Drosophila melanogaster: one gene and its partners. The protein of the gene in region 3 purifies or fractionates together with the protein of the main gene of each other region. This does not show direct contact. Each region holds a gene or a part of one and is shown on either strand. Other genes may lie near its edges.

The links.
Region 1: the proteins of Mob4 (region 3) and Fgop2 purify together in Drosophila melanogaster (affinity purification with western blotting; 2 studies listed by BioGRID, with this or other methods). This does not show direct contact.
Region 2: the proteins of Mob4 (region 3) and Strip purify together in Drosophila melanogaster (affinity purification with western blotting; 2 studies listed by BioGRID, with this or other methods). This does not show direct contact.

Annotation. Positions count from the first base shown.
Region 1 is NT_033779.5:6,942,670-6,947,137, reverse strand, and holds Fgop2 (fibroblast growth factor receptor 1 oncogene partner 2), read left to right. Parts: upstream 1-1,848; 5' UTR 1,849-2,004; intron 2,005-2,068; 5' UTR 2,069-2,141; coding exon 2,142-3,089; 3' UTR 3,090-3,960; downstream 3,961-4,468. Other genes in the region: ihog (interference hedgehog), read left to right, coding at 1-1,385.
Region 2 is NT_037436.4:3,322,741-3,330,768, forward strand, and holds the start of Strip (striatin interacting protein), read right to left. Parts: upstream 6,132-8,028; 5' UTR 6,130-6,131; coding exon 5,959-6,129; intron 5,887-5,958; exon of another isoform or gene 5,703-5,886; coding exon of another isoform or gene 5,511-5,702; intron 5,444-5,510; coding exon of another isoform or gene 5,120-5,443; intron 4,814-5,119; coding exon of another isoform or gene 4,613-4,813; exon of another isoform or gene 4,603-4,612; intron 3,973-4,602; coding exon of another isoform or gene 3,892-3,972; exon of another isoform or gene 3,525-3,891; intron 3,297-3,524; exon of another isoform or gene 2,898-3,296; coding exon of another isoform or gene 2,862-2,897; coding exon 1,960-2,861; intron 1,897-1,959; coding exon 186-1,896; 3' UTR 170-185; intron 103-169; 3' UTR 1-102. Other genes in the region: Gtpx (glutathione peroxidase homolog with thioredoxin peroxidase activity), read left to right, coding at 4,613-4,813, 5,120-5,443, 5,511-5,702; CG14961 (uncharacterized protein), read left to right, coding at 7,402-7,914, 7,971-8,028.
Region 3 is NT_033778.4:6,694,483-6,698,557, forward strand, and holds Mob4 (MOB kinase activator 4), read right to left. Parts: upstream 2,180-4,075; 5' UTR 1,918-2,179; coding exon 1,858-1,917; intron 1,784-1,857; coding exon 1,410-1,783; intron 1,362-1,409; coding exon 1,112-1,361; 3' UTR 632-1,111; downstream 1-631. Other genes in the region: CG3270 (uncharacterized protein), read left to right, coding at 1-589; Rab2, read left to right, coding at 2,402-2,447, 2,934-3,093, 3,567-3,903, 3,964-4,062.

The DNA of each region.
Region 1 (4,468 bases), on a different chromosome or scaffold from region 3:
TTGGTGAGCACAGTGCGGGTACACTGCTGCAGGTGAATCCCAAGCAGATTCAGGAACCCCGGGAATCGGGGGGTACACACAGGCCCAAGCCCAATCAGGGTTCCAGGCAGAAGCAGATGTATCCACCGACTCCTCCAAATGTAACCCGACTTAGCGATGAATCCGTAATGTTGCGCTGGATGGTGCCCCGAAACGATGGGTTACCAATTGTCATTTTTAAGGTTCAGTACCGCATGGTTGGCAAGCGCAAGAACTGGCAGACAACCAACGATAATATACCGTATGGAAAACCGAAGTGGAACTCCGAGCTGGGCAAGAGCTTCACGGCTTCGGTGACGGACCTGAAGCCTCAGCACACCTATCGTTTCCGCATCCTAGCCGTTTACTCCAACAATGACAATAAGGAAAGTAATACCTCGGCGAAATTTTACCTGCAGCCAGGTGCAGCACTTGATCCGATGCCGGTGCCAGAGCTTCTGGAGATCGAGGAATACTCTGAAACCGCTGTGGTGCTGCACTGGAGTCTAGCCAGCGATGCGGATGAACACCTGATCACTGGCTACTACGCCTACTATCGACCCTCGTCCTCGGCAGGGGAATATTTCAAGGCAACCATTGAAGGAGCCCATGCTAGAAGCTTTAAAATAGCACCCCTCGAGACGGCCACCATGTACGAGTTCAAGTTGCAGTCCTTCAGTGCCGCCTCTGCATCCGAATTTAGTGCCCTTAAGCAGGGGCGCACCCAACGTCCCAAAACCAGCACCACAGAGGAGCCAACACTGCAAATGGGCGACCGCGATACAACAACTCCCAGTCATAACGAGACATTCAATATGAGTCCCATGCTGACGGGAACAATCGGCGGCGGGGCAGTGCTCATTCTGCTTCTGATTAGCACCTGTTTCTGTGTTTGCCGGCGTAGGAATTCCAGAAGCCGGGGAAACAATCCAAACAAGCCACGGATGGCGGAGCTGAGAGATGACTTTGTGCCGCTGGGCAACTGCTCGCCCACCAAGCAGCGCCAGCGAACACGACACATCCACATAACCTTGAATCCACTCGCCCAGCAGCAGCAGCAGGCGCTGGAGGAGAAGAATGACACAGACCAGGATGCGCCCTATTATCAGCGGCCGTCGAGCTATGACTACGATCCCACGCTGCGCAGGATGTCCTCCTCCTCGCTGCGTCGCTCACAACGCACGCTGGAACGTGCTGGCGGCAGCAATGGCTCCAACAACGGCAACAACAACAATCTAAATCAATCCGCAGAGGCGGGTTCCATCGAAAATCCCGGCAAGCCGGGTCGTGTACTCATGAAACGCCCCCGTCTGTCCAGTCGCTCCGAGAACCTCTCCTCCGGCAGCCTCAACAGCGTTGGCGTGTAATCGCAATCTCGTGATCTTTAGTCTGTGCATCCCTACGCCCGATGTACCATGCTATTCCTCTACCTCTGTTTTATCTACCACTTTGAATGACAAAACCTTTGCTGTTTGTACTTAAATAGGTACTTAAATAGACATAACTAGATTTATGTATGCATGATCGTTTAAGAACATAGCATTATGTCCATTCTACGCTAAGTCTTCCATTTTTCGCGATAAGATCAAAATCTGTACTGATAGCTTCTTAATGACCTATACAAAAATGACAATAAAGCTTGTAGCTTCACCTTTTAACCTTAAAAGAGTTTTTTAACATAAACATAAAGGATTTAGCCAAAAAAATGACATCTCAAGCTAAAAGTTAAAAAACAAAATTATAATTTAAATCTTTGGTATATTTGCGGTATATCAAGTGTTGAAACAGTATTTTTTCGCATTCAATGAGTGGCGTTAGGGATTTGTGCAACATCCGATGGCGTTTGGGATTTAATAAGCTGTCAGCCAATAATTGGGTCGTCGTCAAAATTTCTATTAAAATCGTTTCTATTCCTACATATTTTGGCCGGAAAATCAAATGAAGCTGTTACGCTAGGGACGAAGCTGCACCTTACCCGCACCGAACGTAAGACACTGCTCGTAGGCCCCAGAAAGTGCACAAATTTAAGCGGTTCCCTTTGTTTTCGCAGTGCCAGCAGCAGAGGGCCTGGCCCCCGAAAACAATACAAATCCAAAAATCGCAACTGGACTGAATTGGGCAGGATGTCGAACCTATCCGTGGGCCAGATTATAATGGATGCGCAGCGCATGGCCAGTCGGGTGAAGGACCTGGACGCCCTGGGCACGGCGCTGCTCGAGGAGGCGGAGAACAACAATCGGCTGGTGGAGAGCCTTCGCCAGTATCAGGACGACATTGAATCACTCAACCGCATTTCGAACAACAAGACCAACGCGGACATGGTGAATCGCATTCAGCAGCAAAACATCAACAGCTCGGAGATACTCAAAGAGAATCGCGAGCTAAAGATCTTCATTGAGGACTACGAGCGTGCCATGGAGCTGATGATGCAAAAGTATCGCGAGCACACCGTCTCCAAGGTCCTGGATAGCAAGTTTAGCTTTAAGGAGCTGTACAACGAACGCATGTGGCAGGTGATCCGGGAGCAGCGCGAGAAGATCAACGAAATGGCAGCAGTGATGCAGCTAGCTGCAAGTGTAGATGACGGTGTCGTGCAGCGAGAGCTGCAGACCATATCCCAGCTGCGTCTGGAGAACGAAACGCTGCGCGAGCTGCTGCAAATCTCCAAGCAGTACGGCTCCTCGCAGCGACCGATTCGTGAGAGCGACCACCTGCTGGAGGAGAAGGCTGTGCAAACGGACAGTACGGCGGACGACTCCGCCGACGATCTGTCCATATCGGGCGCCTCGGTGGAAAACATGAACAACAACTCGGTTATCCAGATGTACAGCAGTCCGGAGCAACCGGCTAAAGTCGCCGGCACCACGAACTCATTTAACACTGCACCAGTGCATAGTCAAAGTGAAACACAAGCACCAAGTGTGACATTGGAGACGGCGCCGCCGGGGGAAGAGCCGCTGGCGAATGATAACAATAACGGACCTGCAGTCAACACAACCAGTGCACCGCCGCCAGCGACGACGTCTAACGAATCTGTCGAGGATCAGGCGACAGTAGCGCCCGCAACATGATAGGTGCTGCTGTGCAACGTTGTTGATTCGTTTGGTCTTCATTTGAATCGTATTTACTCACCCACTCACAAAACAGGCCGCGCACGAAGAGGGCCCACATAACCTGCATTAGCTCTTAGCGATTGATAATCTCTAAGTAATTTATACATAATACGAATTTCAACATATTGTCCATACGCATTGAGAACAATGAAGTTTATTATTTAAAACGAGGTAAACACACTCACACCCACACAAATGTAATGTACAATGTACCCTGTCGATTTTATGGTTTGCTAAATAAATTCCAATACAAATCGGGGAATAACCAAAGGAATGAGCATATTTAATTTAACATACAAATGTATTTCAGTAGTGTATTTAAATAAGATGTAACTTTGCTTTAGATTGCTACTCCGTAAGCTAACTAATTCTTAAGTTATTTCCCAAAAGATGTTACGAGTAGAATCCCATCTATTATGCGCCCCTCCCATGAATTTGAATATTTTTGTTAGAAGGCTTTTTAAATTTGGCCATTCTAAATCCCAGCCAAACAGAGAAGCGGTTAAATAATTCATTGGATATGACTCATTGCTTATCGAGTAAGGCTGATCAGAACTTGATATACACACATACTTGTGTGGAGTTTAAATATGAATAAAGTATAGCCACTAAAATTAACATTTGCCACAATGGTTATCAATGGTTATCGAGCAGAAGATTTATGATATAGTCATGTTAATTTTCAAAAAGTCAACTTATTACACAATGAACCAAGTTGAACAGAATCTGCCATGAGAAAAAAAAACAGCAGTAATAACTATAATTTTAGAAGCTTAAGATTCCAAAGGCAAAATATTGGGGTTTAAAAAATTTTAAATAATTTCATTATTGTATTGTTTAAGTTTAATTTGGTTATTAATCAATATGGAAAATTAGGAAAACCAATTTTTTGAATAGATATTATTGAAGTAATTATTATTATTATTAGTTACAGTGTTTTTTTTCTTTAATTCTATCAAATACATTTTTGTAATTTTGATAAATATGGAACCTGAAGTGTAAAAGTAATATTATATGGATACCCGTAAAGATTTATGGCTGAAACTTTCAATTGGCTTGGACTTGAATATTTTTGAATAATTTTCGAATCGCTCTCATCGATTCTCTGCGCCAAAATATCGGTTCTCTTGAGGAAAACACTTTTCTCGCACGACTGGTAGGTAGTTGAAGCTTTCAGAAATAATTTAAATTTAGTTTCTCGTCGATTTTCAACGCGTTCGCAGCCGAAAAAAAAGTGCCAAGGAACTGCGCCCGGTTCGCATGGCAGCCATCTATATAAGTATTTCGAGTGCTCGGGCAATCGACGGTTATATTAAAGCTATATAAATATATAGGCA
Region 2 (8,028 bases), on a different chromosome or scaffold from region 3:
ATCGTGGTCGGGCTACATGGATTATATCAATGTACTTCTTAATGCTTACAATTACGTTAATAACTTCTTGCTTTTATGACGCGCATGTGGATATTAGAGCAGCTGTAATTCAAAAAGGAATCACGTAAATAAAAGTGTGACGGGGCACATGCGGTATGCAGTTGCTCACCGATGGCAGCCCTGCCCTAGAGGGCGTCCCAGTCGGTCTGACTGTTGTAGACCTCCTCCTCCAGCCAGACCGCGTAATTGGCCTTGAAGTAATCCGTCAGCTCGACCTTGCGATCCCACCAACCCGAGTGACCGAAGAAGGCAAAGTCCGAGTGGGTAAGGATCTCGTCGCTGGGAAAGCCACCCTCCACACCATAGTCGTTGAGCTGCTGCTGCTGGTTGTGGCCGCCATTGCCACCGCCACCGTTGTTTCCATAGCCATTTGCGTCGCCATTATTGCCACATCCATTGTTGCCCGCCATCATGTTGGATTGCTGGGCGTTCTCCGCATTCTGAGCTGCCGTGCCGTTGTTTCCACACTTCTGGGTGGCTTCCGGATAGCGTCGCAGGTTGAATCGATCCACGCAGGCCCGCAGCGTACACTCCTCCGCCTGGAAGTCCCAGGGACGCGACTCCAAGTCGTTGCCAAAGGCCCAATCGTCGTTTAGACGATGCCGCACCTTGGCGTAAATTGCACTCATGGTCTTCATATTGGACTTCCGCCACTGGCGGCCCAAGTACTTGGTCTGCATCTTGAGCAGCTTCAGCACGTACAGCTGCATCATGGCGTGGCGCACCTTAAGCGTCTTCTTCAGGATTGGTGCCGACTTGAATACCACCAGCATCATCACTCGCGAGTGCTTCCACTTGATCAGCTTGTTGAGGATGCGCAGCAGGTTTATGCAGGAGAACACGTTCCGCCAAGAGTAGGACTTATCGGACATCTCTCCGCCATACACAAAGCTATCGCCACTCAAATCCGGTTGCTCACCAATCACACACGACGGGAAATCGAGCAGAGGAATGGAGTTCTTGGTGTTCACGTACTCCGTGATTGTCTGATTGAAGAACTTCAAAACCAGCGGGATGCAGTTGGCGAACACGAGATGCTGCGACATGAACTCAAACTGGTAAACATGGTTTATCTTGAAATGCTTTAAATATAGCAGGATGATGGCCGAGACAGCCTTCACAATGATCTCCTTGTGCCGACCAATGTCGACGGTTAGCTTTGTTGATTGGGTGGCCGTCAGCGGCATCTTCCTAGGCAGCACATCGGCCATTATGTTGATGCTCTCCGTCTTGGACTTGGACGTTGGCGAAGCTGCCAGCAGGACCTTGAGAAGGGCGATCATATACTGCGGCAGGTTTGGCAGGATGGCTTGGTACAACACCTCAGCCGGGGTCAGTTTGATTTCGTCCTCGTGCGTGGAAATGGGGTTCCTAGCTATGTCCTCCTCCTTCTTAATTTGCACATCGGCCAGGCTCATATACATGTGCCGCTGCAGCGTCTTAAAGCCCTCGTGAATGGGTTGCGGCAGTCCAGCCAGACTCTCGTGGTCACCAATCAGTGAATACCCGATGAACTTATTCCGCGAAATGTCCAGAAACTGGTCAATGTCCTTTTGTCGCACCTTAGGCGTCCAGGGCAGGCGAGCCGTGATCTGTACCGGAGGCACAGCAGCGGGTGGCTGTGTTAGGCTAGGCTGGTTGTTTGGATTTGCCGTCGAGGTGGTGGATGCCGACGAAGAGGGGTCATCGTAGGGTCGGTAGTACTGAGAGAGTTCTTCCTCCCCGTTTCCGCCATTGCCGCTGCCATTGTTGGCATTATTTTGACCCTCGTTGCCGCCCATCTCCATGTCTATCTGCTCGGGCTCGTCCAAAAAACGCTGCTTCATCAGGGAGCGTCTGTGCGGCAAGGAAAATGAATGTATTGAAAAGTGTACATAAGTGATCTAAGACTCCGCTTACTTGAAGTTCCGCTTGGGATACTGGTTCTCCAGTATATCAGTAGCTGTGGCCGGCGGTGAGCTGGCTCGCATGCACTTGGTAACCTCCAGCGTGTCCTCGGTGATGGGTTCCAAACCCACCTTCAATCGATACTCGTTCTTGAGATTCTTGAGCACATCCATGCCTCCCAGTCCCAGCAGCGAAACTTTCCACAGCAGGAGGACAACCTTCTTCATGGGGAACTGCGGTGCTGCGCCACTGCAAAACCGTGTGATCATGCCCAACAGCTTGACGGCCAGAAGTTCGCCATCTGGTAGTGGTGAGTTGATTTCTTGCACAAAGGAGTCGGCCAGCTCTCTGTAGTCTTCGCTGCCCTTTTCCTTTTCATCGCGAATCGTTTCTGTGATGATGTAGAGCACAGATAGGATCACCCGAATGTCCGTGGAGTCCACAAGCGTGACGTTAGTGATCTTGACGGCCACAATGTCCGGAGAGCAGGCGCTTTCGATCTCCATGTTGAGCAGGTCGATGAAGGAGGCGAAGACGCCGAGTTGGTAGAGCACCAGCACATTGTCCCTGGTGATCTGGTGCTGCTCCTCGTCCGACTGAACCTCCGCCCAGCAGCCTTGGGCCAGGTAAAGGATGCACCGGGCGGCCTGCATGCGAAAGGATCGATCGGAGACCTCCAGCTGGTCCACCAGCTTCATCACGATGCCGCGCTGGGAGGCGGAGTCCTGCTTCTGCCAGTTGGGCGGCAGGTCGTACAGCTCCATCTGGTCCTCGAAGGCCTTCACGTTCATCTGAAACTCGCTGAACTCCGTGTAGCTATACAGTTCAGCGATCTCGTTCTGATAGCCATCCACGTCCGCGTACACGAAGTCCAGGTCGGGCCCGTCGCAGTTGGCGTCCGCATCGTGGGTGTCCTGCTCAAAGGAGTTGTTTATGGATGTGAGCATCATTCCGCCAATCCTTTTTCGCCACACAGGGATCTCTTTTGTGTGGAAGTGTATGTGCGTGAGTGTGGGCTACTCGTGTATGTGTATCCTGCGGCGGTGGGCGGTGCGCCTGGCGTGGGCGTGGTTGCTCCTGCTCGCTGGTTTTCTCTCCCACTTGGTCTTAGTAGCACATGGACGTACTAAGCAATTCGCACTGCATTTCACTGGGTAATTTCGACTGCAATTTGTTTCTCGCCAAAAACAAAAACGCACAATGGAAAAAGAAGAAAATTCGTACGACCGTTTGCTGTGTGGTCGGAAAATACCAAACAGCAAATGGTGTTGGCCGTCTGGCAAGGCCGTTCGATCGGATGTGGCAGCGACTGATGCAATTGCCGCTGCTTTAAATTTGAAATAAGGGTTCTGTTTGATTTGTACTAATATTAGGAATAGGGATTGTTTCATTTTGATATTTTGTGTTTACAAAATGATAATCAATAGTAATGATATATACAATTTGAAGCTCTAATTAAAGGCTTTTACTTTCATGCTTAAATTTAGAAAGTAGGGCTTAACCACCACACTTGGCAACTCTGGAAAAGTTGTGCTCCTAGTGTGACCAGACCAGAACATTACAAGTGCTTTCACCTACACATATAAATAAGGGTTTTTGCAAGTCGCCGGTTTCAGTTTTATTTACGCTTCGAAAGTGAGAAAGTGCCCAGTTCCATTAGTCATTGCTATTACGCCATAAGTAAGCCCAAACAATAATACCCAGCTGTCGAGATTAAGCACAGCATAATCAGCCCAAAAACACAGCTGGTCGAGGTGACAAGAATATATGTATATAGAGCAGGGAAAACAGTCGAATCGAATCTGAACTTTGCTCCCGATTTTCGCCCATATCAGCGTGAGCTTGCAGAATCTCGGCATTCGCATTCTATATTTGTATCCCTGCATCCGAAACTCGCAGCAGATCGTTGTGAAATCGTACACATAGTCGATATATAGCTCAGTAATGGCTGGCCGCTCCATCGTCCACTTTTTTCTGGGGTCCGTGGCAATCGCCCTGGGATCGTACATCTACTTCACCATGCAAGTAATTACCCACAACACTAACTATCCCTTCAAATTGCTGTCCAATCAACTCGAACAATGGCATGCATGTGCAATCAGCGACGGTAACGAGGCAGCGTCGTGGGTTACGTGGGCCAATCCTGGCCAGCTTAAAGGTCACTGTGCGTAGCCACTAGGTTGCGTGACTCACAGGGTGCTGGGATATACATATATGTACATATAGCTCTTGACTTTGACCCCGATGAATTATGCAGCGTCACTGTAACCAGAAGCCTGATAGCACCCTCGTAAATGTCTATGAAACAACATACAACTATTAGGAAACCCATTATCAAAACGTGAAATAATCTTGGATGTTTGTCGTCGGGTTGTCGAATACAATCTATACACCACATACATTTCCACACTTTCTTATTCGGAAATAAGATAGCTTTGAGCTATCTTACTACTTTACTTACTACTTGCTCTTATCTACTTAACTATTTCGTTAATCAGTAGAAATGTGGACTTGATTTTTATATTTTCCCATTTGAATTGTTTTGAAACGATTGTTGTTCGATCTGATACACAACGTACACATCCACACCAGTAATTCCTTCACTTGCCTAAGCTTTCACTAAATTTGAACATTCTGCCCGGTTATTATTTGCAGCATTTAAAGAATGAGTCTCAGGCAGTTTCAGAACATTTCCCGCCAGGCCCTCAGGTGCTACTCGATGAGGCGGACCCCTGGCCCCGTCCTCGAGCTGAGTCGCGGTCAGAGGCAGTGCCTTCGCCTCTGCACCATCATGCTTCCCGTGAGCTGTGCGGCCACGCCCATGAACGCCATCTCCTCAGCCGCCCAGCACTCCACAGCAGCTGCCGTGAGTAGTGCTGATTGCTAGTTGACTAGATCCTAACCCGTTGACTAACTCAGTTGCTTGATTCTGCGCCTAACTAAACGTTGTAGCCTTTGCCACTGCCTGTGTTCTCTGTTCTCTGTTCTCTGTTGCCTGTTCACTGCAATGAACCGCGTAGCCTGGGTCGATTTTGATACAGAATATAGTGTTTCATACCCCGATTGAAGATAAGGCTATAAATATCTATATCTCTTGATCAAAACATCGACCCAAGCCTTCACAGCCACTAGTAATTACCCAATTCTAACTCCCACTTTCTATTGCTTCCAGATCGACATGTCTGCTAACGGAGATTACAAGAACGCCGCCTCGATCTACGAGTTCACCGTGAAGGATACCCATGGCAACGATGTTTCCCTGGAAAAGTACAAGGGCAAGGTGGTCCTGGTGGTGAACATCGCCTCCAAGTGCGGCCTGACCAAGAACAACTACGAGAAGCTGACGGATCTAAAGGAGAAGTACGGCGAGCGCGGCCTGGTGATCCTCAACTTCCCGTGCAATCAGTTTGGGTCCCAGATGCCGGAGGCCGATGGAGAGGCCATGGTGTGCCACCTGCGCGACTCCAAGGCTGACATCGGCGAGGTGTTCGCCAAGGTAAGACTATTAAAGCTGCTAGCCGATTGCTGTAGACCGAGTCACTAAACTTGCCCCACCCCCGCAGGTCGATGTGAATGGAGACAATGCGGCGCCGCTGTACAAATACCTAAAGGCCAAGCAGACCGGCACCCTGGGCAGCGGAATCAAGTGGAACTTCACCAAGTTTCTGGTGAACAAGGAGGGCGTGCCCATCAACCGATATGCCCCGACCACCGATCCCATGGACATCGCCAAGGACATTGAAAAGCTGCTGTAGATGTGCCCTAGACGTTAGCTGCTCTTTTGGACTGTGTTTTCGCGTAGCTTTAGCTTGTAACCGTCTGGCCACAGATAGTCTTGTGGCCGGCCACATGCACCGCATGGTATATATATTGTCTACTCCTTACTGGTTTTGATTCCCACCCGCAAACATAATAAACGCCATTCGTGGTTACCACACTATCACCTGGGTGTTTGGCGACGCCGGGCACGTACTTTGATCGGTAGTTGGAACTGTATCAATTCGGACTTACCGTGTCAACGCTGGCGCGTTCAATCCGCTTGCTGGAAGCAGCAATGGTGTTAAGCACGTTGATCCTAGACTGGATGGACTGCATCATCGAGGATCTGGCGTTTACGGCGCCACAGCTTAACTGGTTTTTACAAGTGTCAAAAAGGAGTTTATTTTTCTGTTTCCAAGCCATATATATTTGTTAGGTGACTGTGAAATTTGGAGATGTCATATTAAGGGAAAAACGAAATTCACAAAAGAAAGGTATGATGTTTTCAACGGTAGAGCACAATTTTTGAAAACTTGTTCAACTTAATGACCACGAAAGCTCGCATTGTTTTAAAACTAATTAATCTTTGAAAGGACCTTGATCAATTAGTCTGAGTTTTAGATTTTAAAACCCATATTTGCCTTTCTCTATAATGATATTCAAAACAAGTTTGCTTTAATATCCTTTAGATATTTTTGAAAGAAAAGTTACTTTTTCTGTGAGTAGGCAATATCTGTTTTAAAATATTCCCCCTTACCAATTTGACCTTATTGGTGGTTACTTTAAGTGCAGAAAGAAGCAAAAGTACTTCACATTAACCTTTACCTTCTTTCCGAATTCGAGTGCTCCGAGTGTTCGCCAAATGCTCGCCAAACTTCGATTGCGCAAGTTTGCCTGACCAGCACCCCCAAAACCAACAAATGCGAATCCGTCAGCCCATTGGGGCGCCGATCTCGAGCTGCTCCTCCTCCAGTGGAGCAGTTCAACGTCTCGGCCGGATTTCAAGTTCAAACCAGCTGCCAATGGAGCGGCGACTCCGACCTTCCGACAATTACATGAAAATGCTGCACTCACCATTTACGGATGCCATCGAAATTCGCAGTGGAGATCAGGCGGAGAAAAACCAAACTGATGAGCTGGAGCGAAATTAAAGATCTCTATTGGATTAGCTTCTTTTACCCGAAAGAACTTTTCCCAAATTTTCCCAAGAAATTATTTTAATAAAATCGCATATTAAATGATATATCTGTGATATATGAACGAACTTAGGCCCCTTTTCTCTCAGTGCTGGTGCGTGCCACACAAGTGTGAAGCGATGACAGCAATTTGTTGAATGCATCATCGCTCAAATGCGATCGCTCGAATGCCTTTAATTGTAGAACTAGGTTAAGCATCTGAGACTCATCCCTAAACAGTTTGGCCCAGGTCAGTAGCGAAGCTATCGAAGCTATTGTCGCCATAGTGTGTATGCATTGCTATTCCCAGTGCTGCAGTTGACTTTGACACTGATCGCGATCGCGATTGCGAATGCGATCGCTCCCCCAATTTTGATTCCGAATCCACCCAAAATCCGTATAAATATGCGGAGCACACTCCACTATCGATCAGACAGCGGTCAGCTTTGGTGGTGGTCAGCAGTGATTGGACACACAGCTAGGATTTTTGACTTCGGATTGGTAACAGGATTAGAACAGGATGTTCCGAGGAGTGCTGGTGCTCCTGCTGGTGGCCTGCAGCCAGGTGGATGCGGCCACCCATGTCAACATCTCGATTGCACAGCAACCGGCCACAAATCCGGCGGATGTGAAGTACGTCGATGGTATGGCTCCGGCCGAGCTGAGGGCGGGTCCTCAGAGGGATGAGGATCAGCAGTTTCAACGCATCCAGGAGCGACAGCAGCAGGTGCTATCCCAGTCCCAGCAACAACAGCAGCAACAGGTGTCTCAAACCCAGCAGCAACAGCAGCCCCAGCAGCTGTCTCCTCGCCAGGGATTGGGATTGCAGCCGCCAGCTCAGGGTCAGTCACCTATGTCCAAGAACGGACGACTGCCCCGTCGCCGGAATCACAGCCGACGCCCCTCCATCCACCAGCAGCCGCCGAGTCCTCATAGTGGCCAGTTTCGACAGCGCAACCAGCAGCTCCGCCAGAACCAGGAGTTCGAGCGGTACATCCAGTCCTACCACAGCCATGGTCCCACCGTGGAGACGGTAAATGGAAAGAAAGTAACATGTTGAGCCAGCAAGTTAACTACCTTACCTTCCAGGTCTACGAGTCATCGAATCCGTCCCCGCAGCGCTATACTCAAACCAGCTCCGGAATAA
Region 3 (4,075 bases):
CTCGGGTCAGGTGGCGCGTCTGGCAGGGATTGGTGATAAGGAAGCAAAGGAGGCTTCCCTGAGTGTAGCCCTGCCGGTGGAGCCTCGCAAGCGATACGTCTATGTGGTTAGCACTCAGGGTAAGAATTGTCCTGGGCTAGCCACACCTCTGACCGTTGATCCCGATGGCACCTACTTCAGGCGGGACGGTCTTTGCGGCAACTTCCTGTGCGGCCGCAGTCCAAACGAAGACGAGGAGCCGGAGTGCGAAACGCTGGACGTGGACCACGGGTACTTTGAAACGGATGTCTGGCCCACACTGGCGAACCGAGTTCCTGCTTTTGAGTCTGTGAAGATACAGAGCAGCTGGGCGGGCTTCTATGACCACAACACATTTGACGCAAACGGCGTCATCGGCAGGCATCCTCACTACAGCAATCTCTTCATTGCCGCAGGCTTCAGTGGGCACGGCATTCAGCAGACTCCCGCCGTGGGTCGAGCCATTTCCGAACTAATCTTGGACGGCAAGTTTACCACACTGGATCTGTCGCGCCTCGGCTTCGAACGCCTTGTAAACCAACAGCCTATGCACGAAGTGAATATCGTTTGACAAATTTATCACAGGAGGATCGTACTTGCCCTTGGTGTGTTTATGTATGTACTTCTTTTATTGCAATTTCTGTTGTGTATATAGTAATTTTGTATAGTAAAGTTCACGTTTTAGTCACGTACAGCTGTGTTGGTGTTTTGGCTGCCAGTAGTCAAGGGAATTTAGTTTAGTTTACGGGGATTTGACGTGGAATCAGCCACGAGAAGGTCGTGTGCCTACATATAATTTATTAAAATAAGGAGTTAAACATAATCGTAATATAACTTGCGAAATAATTGCTGACTTAGGATCAGATGGGGCGAGCGGGTTTGAGGGGGTCTGCCCTTGTTACTTAGTTATCGTTATGTAGCTCTATGTGTATCTGACATCTAAACTACATACAAGATCTGCATTAGAGTCGGGTCCGCGTGGAATCGTTTCCCTGTCAGGGTGAGCCAACCCAACTTGCAAGCTATTGGTAAATATAAATAGATGTATGTTGAATGAGTGTTTCATGCGAGTCTGACTAATCTGGGCGGGCTCCTAAGCCTCGCTTTCGCCAGGGGCCGCGTTTTCACCCACGTTGATGGGCACGATCAGATTCTCCTTCGACATCAGATTATATTTTGTGACGAAATGCGTGAAACGGTGGCACAGATACGTCTCGGCCTCGAATTCGTCGAAAATGCGACGATGGTGAAAGTAGGCGTGCGAGAAGATGCGATACACCCGCCGACATACGGAGCCCAGCTTGGTTACCGACGACTCCTTGATGGACACCCTGGGAGAGACACTTTGCTTATTATGTGGCTAGTTCAACCATGTCGCTAAGCCTGCATACCTGCTAGGGAAGTACTTGTTGCTGTTTAGCAGACAGGCGGCACCGTCCAGCGTGTGGCGTGTGTAGTCAATGGCCGGACATTCCTTGGGCGTCTTGTGCGCGGCGCACAGGAATATCCACTGGTCAGTGGCTGTCATCTGGGTGCACGTCGACGGCGAGCACTCCTTCTGCAGCCGCACTGCCAGGCCGTTCAGCTCCATGCAGAACTGGCGCAGGTGCTCGTACTTCCACACGCCCTCATCCTGGGCTTCGGGCATGGTCAGTATGAGTTCCACGTTGCTCGGGTCGCGCTTAATCAGCTGCTGTATGTACTGCTGCACCGCCAGCGTGCTGTCCATCTCCTCCAGGGGCTCGTCGGGCCAGCGACAGAAGTCCTGAAAGGCGAAACGGAAAACGGGTCAGACGGGCCGGGCCGGGATCGTTGTTCGGACGCCATGTCATCGCTCACCTTGGATTTTGTGCCTGGCCGGTTCCTACGCAATATGGTCGAGCCGTCAGCCATCTTCATGTTTCACCCGCTCGAAGACGCGATGATCCACAACGTCTGTGCCTACGCCTTGATGAGAAAATCACTGGCAGAAACTGAATGCTAGCCTGGTCCCTGCCCCGCGGGAGTCTCCGGATGTGGGATCCCTGCACCGTAGTATGCTGAGTGTATTCTACAGGAGCTGGCACATCGCTTGACAATTAATTGGCGTTTATCCTCCAAAACACTTTGCTTTGTGCGAGAAAATTTCTGACAAATTCTACATACATACATATACCTATCGATTGGCCAGCGGCAGTGCGCATCGTTATCGATAGGGCGATTGCAGCCTTGCGGTATTTCGGTATTTCCGCCAGCCCTGGCCACAAAGTGGCCACACTGTCGCTAGCCAGTCATCATAAATACGAACAGATTGGAAAACGTACAAGAATTGCGTATTATCTGTGGCATTACGAGATCGTACTTTCTAAAAACTAGCTTACCGTAACCCCCGTCAGCTTAAAACATGTCCTACGCGTACTTGTTCAAATACATCATTATCGGAGACACAGGTGAGTGCAAGCTGCGACTTCCTTTGAAACGGAATGGCCAGTGAAAAGTTGGCCATTGTCAGGGAAACAATCTGTAATTGCAAACAACACAACAAAACAAAGGGCATCGCAGGCGTAGGGGTCGTACCCGAAAATCAAAAAATGGGGGTTTCAGGTGGTCTCAAGTGAAAAATTGATACCGTGAGATCAAAATTGCGTCGGCAGGAAAATATTCCTGGAGTCGGTGGGCCGAAGGAAAAATCAATAATACCATAACAACGCATACAGGCGTTTGCTGCTCTCAGAGTTAGTGGTGCGCGGGGAGCAGCCCACACATAAACCCTGCTGCTGACTCACCCAACCACCCCCAGTAATTGAGGGATTCCGCCCCAAAGAGCCACGGGCTTATCAGCACTCTGCTTTTCGGGATGTCCAACAGCTGTTGGCATTTTCCAGCCTGTCCCACCTTTTCCCCGCTCGCCCACTAACCCTTTTCCGTTTCCGCAGGCGTGGGCAAGTCCTGTCTGCTGCTCCAGTTCACGGACAAGCGATTCCAGCCGGTGCACGACCTGACCATTGGCGTGGAGTTCGGAGCACGCATGATCACCATCGACGGCAAGCAGATCAAGCTTCAAATCTGGGACACGGCTGGGCAGGAGGCTTTCAGGTACCCACTTCTGTTCATTTAGTGTTAATACTTAAGAAGGGATAAGTGAAAGCTCAGATTACTTCCAAAATTGAACTGAATAAATTTTTGCAAATTTCGTATCCAAAACCCCAAGTCCAAGGCGGATAATAATTCGGCTCGTTTTTTATATTAAATAAAATAATTTGAATAAAATTCTTACTTAATGATCCAAAATAATAATAATATATATATATAGAGCCTTTAGTAAAAAGGCTTAATAATTTGTATTCAAAAAATTTTATTTGCTTCATTTCGGCACATTGTTGATAGATGTTTATTTAAAAAAGTTTTAATTCTATCATTTTTAATTTTTTGTGATATAAATTTTTTATACTTTACTTAAAATTAAATAGAAGTCGTCAGACAGAAATTTAATGGGTTACTAATAATTAAATAATATAAGCACTGTCATTTATATAACTGTATTGTGACGCAAAATATTTCTTGAATAGATCTATCACACGCTCTTATTACCGCGGAGCTGCTGGCGCCTTGCTGGTGTACGACATCACGCGACGGGAGACCTTCAACCACCTGACCACCTGGCTGGAGGATGCGCGTCAGCACTCGAACTCGAACATGGTCATTATGCTGATAGGCAACAAGAGCGATTTGGATTCGCGGCGTGAGGTGAAGAAAGAGGAGGGCGAGGCCTTCGCCCGCGAGCACGGACTGGTCTTCATGGAGACTTCTGCGCGCACAGCTGCCAACGTAGAGGAGGCGTTCATAAATACGGCCAAAGAGATTTACGAGAAGATCCAGGAAGGTGTCTTCGACATCAACAATGAGGTAAGAAGGATACATTTAACTTAGAAACTTCTTGCCACTACATTATTATCTCGTTACTAGGCAAACGGCATTAAGATCGGCCAACAGCACTCCCCCACAAACCCGTCGCTCCCAGGAGCCGGAGGAGCAGCTGGAGCAGCAAACAGTGGCTGCTGCTAGGAGTAAACCGCAG